Saccharomyces cerevisiae S288C: one gene and its partner. The gene in region 1 interacts genetically with each later gene. Each region holds a gene or a part of one and is shown in the gene's direction. Other genes may lie near its edges.

The links.
Region 2: mutations in MNT3 (region 1) and DDI3 together harm fitness more than expected from each alone (negative genetic interaction), as found in Saccharomyces cerevisiae (one large-scale study listed by BioGRID).

What each region holds. Positions count from the first base shown.
Region 1 is NC_001141.2:323,855-328,514, forward strand, and holds MNT3 (alpha-1,3-mannosyltransferase MNT3), read left to right. Parts: upstream 1-2,248; coding exon 2,249-4,141; downstream 4,142-4,660. Other genes in the region: aspartyl protease BAR1, read left to right, coding at 1-251; YIL014C-A (uncharacterized protein), read right to left, coding at 1,358-1,672; ATP-binding cassette multidrug transporter PDR11, read right to left, coding at 4,353-4,660. UniProt on the Saccharomyces cerevisiae protein: Mannosyltransferase involved in adding the 4th and 5th mannose residues of O-linked glycans.
Region 2 is NC_001138.5:7,772-10,845, forward strand, and holds DDI3 (cyanamide hydratase), read left to right. Parts: upstream 1-1,773; coding exon 1,774-2,451; downstream 2,452-3,074. Other genes in the region: SNO3 (putative pyridoxal 5'-phosphate synthase), read right to left, coding at 2,530-3,074. UniProt on the Saccharomyces cerevisiae protein: Cyanamide hydratase involved in the detoxification and/or utilization of cyanamide, a toxic nitrile compound distributed widely in the environment.

The sequences.
Region 1 (4,660 bases):
CTAAATTAGAATTATCCTCGACTATGGCAAATTCGGGCAGTGTCTCGCTTCCCACTTCGAATTCAATAGACAAAGAGTTCGAACATTCGAAATCTCAAACTACCAGCGATCCAAGTGTAGCAGAGCATTCTACGTTTAACCAAACGTTTGTACATGAAACTAAATATCGGCCTACTCATAAGACAGTCATAACAGAAACTGTCACGAAGTATTCTACAGTCTTAATAAATGTCTGTAAACCAACATATTAAGAAATCTGGAGTACAATTTCTTTATAGCATATAAATATCAAATATATAGTCATTTTTAATACATGGAAAGCATAATAAAAAAACAAGGGGAGTTTTACTGATATCATTGGGATATATAAAACAAAATAGTAATATTATGCAGCCATCACAATTTTGAACAAGTAGCACATTATTCATTGAATAAATGCTAAAAAAATCTCCGCGACGGGGAATTGAACCCCGATCTGGCACGCGACAAGCGCCCATTCTGACCATTAAACTATCACGGAATATTAGATGTGATATTGTTGTATCTCAAAATGCGATACGTCAATATGACAATACGTCATCCTAAACGTCCGTAAAACACATATGAAACAACCTTATAACAAAACGAACAACATGAGATAAAACCCGGCCTCCCCTAGCTGAACTAACCAAACGTATAAATGCCTGAACAATTAGTTTAGATCCAAGATTCCGCGCTTTCACCATTTAGTATGATTCATATTCTATACAATATATAAGATAAGTAACATCCCGTGAATTAAGCTGATAATCCGTTTTGACAGCTCGTTACTTCCCTAAGACTGTTAATAATAATAAGATTGTCAAGACACCCCGGTATTACTCGAGCCCGTAATACAACAATTTTTTCATTTCACTTATCCTTTGTATTTTATGTACAGTAAAATCTGTCATCTGAAATAAGGACCTTGTTGAAGAAAGACTTTGTTGTGTCGGAATGTTGGAATAAAAATCCACTATTTTCTATCAACTAATAGTTATACTATCAATATATTATCATATACGTTGTTAAGATGATGACATAACTTATGAGAAGCTGTCATCGAGGTTAGAGGAAGCTGAAATACAAAAATTGATAATGTAATAGGATAACGAAACATATAAAACGGAATGAGGAACAATCGTAATATTAGTATGTAAAAATATAAATTCCACTTTGAGGATTCCTATGTCCTCGAGGAGAACTTTCAGTATATTCTGTATACATAATATTATAAGCATTTATCAACAATGGAACCCCCAACAATTATCTCAAAATTCACCCATTTCTCAAATATTATATAGCCTTTACTAACAACGGAATTCCAACAATTATCTAATTATTCATTAAATGGCCAGGAAAGTCCTGGCAGAGGGGTACTTTCATCAGTAAAGGAATAATTGTCCCAGTACTCCCCCGCATCATAAACCCACTGGGTTGCATTCTCCAAAGTTGGCACTAGATGAGTTGCTATTAATTCCTCCGTGCAGCCATTTATAGCGGACACATTTAAAACATAGTCACCTAACATTGGGTTAGTTGTATAAGATAGATAGCTAATATCAGGCGTGGCATTCCCCCAAATAATCAATAAGTTTGCTGATTCATTACTCATCAAAGTAGTTATACTGGGATAGTTCATGTCAATGTCCATTTCTTTTCAGAAAAACAGACTGTTAAATAAAACAGGCCTTAAACTTCAATTTTTGAACTTTTTTCTACTTTCTGCCTTTAGCTCTGTTGTCTCATTAAAATAGTACATAATTTGTGCATAGCTACTTGTAAGAAGCAGTCGAGTAAATGTTTGGAAGCTGTTTGCAACCACATTTTAAATGATATCCTTTATGCGATAATCTCATCTACCGTAAAATACGAGCTTCTATGGCCAAGTTGGTAAGGCGCCACACTAGTAATGTGGAGATCATCGGTTCAAATCCGATTGGAAGCAATTTTTTTTCTTTGAAAGAGAATCTTTTTCAAATACGGAAGAATGAAGAAGTATCGACAATGCAAATTACCTTAATGATCTCGTCTAAAAAAATTTTGAAGAGGAATTATTCTGATTTACACGCAAAAAGTGGCAATAATCTACTCTTTAATTTGGTATCATTGTTTGTCTTAGTACTTAAATTGTGCCTCTGGAACTGATCAAATTCCTTTCTCCATCACATGAGTACGAGGAGGGGTGTTAAGGAATTAAAGACAGTCTACTAAAACTATTTCCCTAAGCATGCTTAAATCATTAAAATCCAGAAGACTAATCTTAAAACGATTAGTAACACTGCTGCTCTCTTTATTCTTTTCTTATCTCATTTTCTCTGCCAGTCGGAATGTTACATCATCCAATAAATTAAACAACCATGCAAGCGAGAGGACAGCTGTTGAATCATCTGCATTCAATTGGATTGAAAAACGACAACACCAAGTGAGATCCGAAAACTTAATGAACAGATTATCTGCCTACTTTTTGCCCTTTTTGAGTAGAAGTTCTCACAAAGAACGTGTATTGTTGAGGCAATTAGGAAATAATGAAATAGCGAAGAGTGACAAGTGCCGTTACATTTTTGAAGTACTATACAAGATTGATCCCGACTGGGACAATGCGCAAACTGCAAAATTTTATAATGTTGATGGTGTAGATAACACGTTGGCCTCATTGTTAGGGGAAAGATTAAGATCTTATGATTATTGCTTTTTATCTGGTCAATTAGATCCTACTGCAATATTTGCAAATTCAACCGTAAATCCTCATGATTTGCAAAACAGAATGTTTCCATTTCTGAAGAAAATTAACGAGGAATCCAAAACTGTAATGTGGCCTATTATCACAGACATGACAACTGGAGAGGCAGTTCCGGCACCCGAGGTTGATATGGAATCATCAAACTTTAATGGTAACTTTTGGTCCAACTGGAATAGGTTGAGCAAAGGAAGAGGTTTTGTTTTAACTATTGCTGAAAAGGATGTTCCTTTATTTTTGAAACAGTTGAAAGTGATGGAATTTTCAAAAAACGAATTACCATTCCAAATAGTATCCACGGGAAATGAACTATCAGCAGAGTCTATTGCTAAAATTTCTGAGACCGCTAAAGAAACGGAACAAAGGGTCTACTTAGTAGACTGCTCGACAGTGCTTGACACTAATTTTGCTAATACATACATTTCTTTTTTTCAGAATAAATGGGTCGCCACTTTGTTCAACACATTTGAAGAATACATTTTGTTGGATGCAGACGTAGTACCGTTTGTAGGGTCTGATTACTTTTTCGACTCTCCTTCTTACAGGGAGAGCGGGATACTTTTGTTCAAGGATAGGGTTATGGAAAACGAGCAAACTTTCCAATACTGCATCGAAATGTTAAATGAAGTGGAACCCTCTGCACAAGAACGCAGATTTATTGGAAGTAGGTTAGTTTTTGATTCGTCATTACCGTTTTCTTCCGAAACCTCAGAAGAAGCATCTGTGTATTACAATTTTTTCAAAAAATTACGACTCCATCATGTTGATAGTGGTTTGGTTGTAGTCAATAAACTTGAGAAATTAAATGGATTGTTGATGTCTTTTATGTTAAATTTGGATGGAAAATTGCAGAGGTGTGTGTATGGTGACAAGGAAATATTCTGGTTGGGGCAATTATATGCTGGCCAGGATTATTCTATCAATCCCGTTGATGGCAGTATTATTGGACCTGTTAATGAAGAGCCTGAAAATGATGACGGACATAAAAGCGGGATGTACTACATTTGTTCTACGCAGATTGCACACAGTGACTCCAAAAATCGATTACTATGGGTAAACGGTGGACTGAAGACTTGTAAAATTTCGAACAGTGCTGAAGATGACTTTGGAAGAGAGCCAGAGTATTTTAAGAGTAGATATGGGGACATTTCAAAATTAAAAAGGATATATGATGCTTCGTTGAACGTAGAGGGACTAATCGTTCCTGACGTTTCTGTTCATCCATGGATGCAAATCAAGGAATGTTCTAATTATATGTATTGTGCATATGCTACGGGTGACGGACACACAAACTCTGAACTTGACGAAGGTCGTCTAATCACGTTTACTGAAAAGGAATTACGATATATCAATGATATTTCTCGAACCTGGAATGCTAATTGAGAAAAAAAAAAGTGAAAAGGAAATGAGAGTATTAATATTTATTAAGTATGGAGCATATATAATCCGAAAAATGATTATAGATTAATTTAGAATATGATTTGGGAATAAATTAACAATTAGTTTAAAGCAGAAGGCAGCCGGATGAGGAACAAGAACTGTTGAATAGTATTAGGTAATTTTGAATGTTTTCTAACGGAACGCTATTCACTGATTATACGCTTTGTTCGTTTGGATTATGAGATGTTTTGGACCGCCTCATTGATGGGATACACTTCTTTATACCATCAATCACAGAAGGCCAAATTTTTTTGATGTAGGTTAGGTAGAAGCCCACAAACATGGCGGCAATGTTAAAGCAAACGAAAACCCATTCAAAACCAAAATTTCTCCATCTGTGATGATAACTCATATTTTCTTGAGCAAGGAAGTCATCCCCAACAGTGTACATGCAGTAGGCGCAGACGGTGTATGTGTTATTGATGTGCAGTTTCCCACCAAATTCATCAATAAAGGGTTTCA
Region 2 (3,074 bases), on another chromosome or scaffold:
ACGATGGGTTGGTGTTTTTATCAAGCAAGGTTAATCACATGGCGTGGCTTGCTCCACGCATCAGTAGAAAACGCATACCGCAGCGGAATCCTTAAATAATAAGTGATTTTACTGTTCATCAACTACAATCGGACTCTTTCACAATTACCCTTCTTGTTTTCCACATTTACTGTTAAATGAAGGGATGTACAGAAGGCTTAGGAAAACCTGTGCTGAATACTGGATGGACACTGCATTCCCACAGTGAAGCTTTTATAGATACACTGCCAGTTATTTTCGAACTTTCATCAAGTTGCTGAGTTTTAGTATCCCTTTGCCTTAGCTATATGTTTGAATGAGCAAAATATTTGCAATGTCTCTAGCTTTCTTGAAATATTGGTTTATATTGAGGGCTTGGTAAGATTTCAAATTTCATTTTGAAGTGCTCAGGAGAAAAATCATGCTCTTTTGATAATTTGGTGACTAAACATACATAAAACAGTTTAATTTTGGGTGGTAATGGCTGTGTGACTAGCTATAGAAAGAAAAAAATTAAAAAAAAAAAAAAAAATCAAGTAGTTCCTGCACTGCGACGTCCATTATAGCATTATAAATTGGTCCCTGATTTACGCATGCGATAAACTATTTTTAGCGCAGCCGCATATTATCCGAGAATAACTTCCGACATAAGAAAATTCGCAGAAAATAGATAAAAAAACTGCTCTTGGCATTCTTCACTTCCTCTATTACACACTGTGTCATACCACAATCATCTCACAGTATGTATTTGTATGTTTATACATGCTATAACGTAAAACAATGTAGAATATATATCTAAATACCTCACGGTTTTAGTTTAGTGCAGCCCACATACTACTTTTTTCCTTTTGTTTTTTTTTTTTATATTTCAAAGGTTAAACTCGCTTAGACTATGTCTATAATATAAAAAAAAAATAGCTCTATTCCGTTTCTTTTATTCTATTTGATATTTCCATCACACTTTCATCTTAATCACGGATGTATACTGATAATAGGGTTGACTGCGCCTGTACGGATTACAGTGCCCTCTTCAATTGGAAAATCCAAGCTTTCAAGATGGGTAACTGTTATTCAAAGGATCCTCTAAGATAAAACACAGATCGACAGATCCGAGAGTTGGCTTCTGTGCCTTGGGCTCAAATTCCTTTCCCACCTCATGCAAATTGATTTTTCTGACTCCAAAAAAAGACAGAGCCCTGCGATAGTTCCCGAATGTTGTAACATCAAAGCCAAGCACTCCTTTATAGAAGTCGCATGAACGTTGAATACTAGCAGCTGGTGAAACTACAGGGTCTAAACTAACTAGTATCCATATCTTTTTGAGAGCATTGAAAGTATACGGAGTACAAGCTGGGTTAGAAGGAATTTTTATCTTAACAGCAATGAAAATCAACTTTCTAGACTGAATCCCTCAAGAAAATTGCAAAAGACTAACTGATACTGGTTTAAAAGAGAAAGATGTCAAATATGCGGAGTTATACCATCAAACAACTTTGGACGGCCCCGAAACAAATGTCCGCAAAAAAGATCTTATTAAAGTGCATGGACACTATCATTTCTATAATACAAAATACTCCACCGCACAATAGTTTGTCGGGAAGTCATCAATCAATCTTGTACGAGCTTTACAAATAACTTTTTAGGATCGGTCCCCTCATAAAATTATATATAAATGGGTTAGTTTCCTTCTTCTTCTGTTAACATGAAGTTGCTTCGTACTGTTTTTTGCCTTGCTTCTCTTCAAAAGAATCAATCATGTCACAGTACGGATTTGTAAGAGTTCCTAGAGAGGTAGAAAAGGCCATTCCAGTGGTGAATGCACCTAGACCACGGGCCGTTGTTCCGCCTCCAAACAGTGAAACTGCTAGGCTTGTTCGGGAATATGCCGCTAAAGAATTGACTGCCCCCGTTCTAAACCACTCTTTGCGTGTTTTTCAATATAGTGTAGCTATCATAAGAGACCAATTTCCAGCATGGGACTTGGATCAGGAAGTTTTGTACGTCACCTGCTTACTTCATGATATTGCAACAACAGATAAGAATATGAGAGCCACGAAGATGTCATTTGAGTATTATGGTGGCATACTTTCAAGGGAGCTTGTATTTAATGCGACAGGTGGAAATCAGGACTATGCAGATGCAGTAACTGAGGCCATCATTCGTCACCAGGATTTGACTGGGACTGGCTACATTACCACCTTGGGGCTCATTCTGCAGATTGCTACTACGCTTGACAATGTCGGATCCAATACCGATCTGATTCATATCGATACAGTTAGTGCCATTAACGAGCAATTTCCAAGACTGCACTGGTTATCATGTTTTGCTACGGTGGTGGACACTGAAAACTCGAGAAAACCGTGGGGCCACACCAGTTCTTTGGGTGATGATTTTTCAAAGAAAGTCATATGCAATACATTTGGGTATAACTAAATAGGTAAGTTTCAATGAGGCGAGTTCAGAATGAACAGTGATGATCTCCTTTCTCCATAACTATACTATACGTCCCTTTTATTTACTGTAGTTTTTAAGAACAAATTCTCTGATGAACCAGTCGTGAAACCGTATATCGTTTTCTGCCAATTCCGGATGAAATGATGTCGCAAGAATATTGTTTTTTTGCTTAGCGGCAACAATTAGTTCTTGACCACCATTATCCTTCCCATCTAATTTGTACAGGACCTGCACATGTTCAGGATCCAGCACCTCTTCTATTACTGGGGCTCTTATAAAAGTAGCAGGAAAATCATTGCAGTGAGGAATAAAGTTTGAAAAGTCGCAAATCCGGGTAGAAGACTGAGCTTGTCTCCCAAATGCATTTCTTTTTACTTTAACCTTTAGTAAATTCAGCGTCTTGACCAGTTTTGCTTCGTTAGATAATTGTTGTGAAATATAAATCAAACCTGCACAAGTACCCCAGGTTACCTTGCTTGGGTTGTGTACGAATGCGTAGAGATCGTCGTAAAATCCTGTTCTTTCTGCAATAAGGGACATTGCAGTCGACTCTCCCCCAGGTATGATCAATGCATCACATTGAGCTAGTTGATTTTTATCCT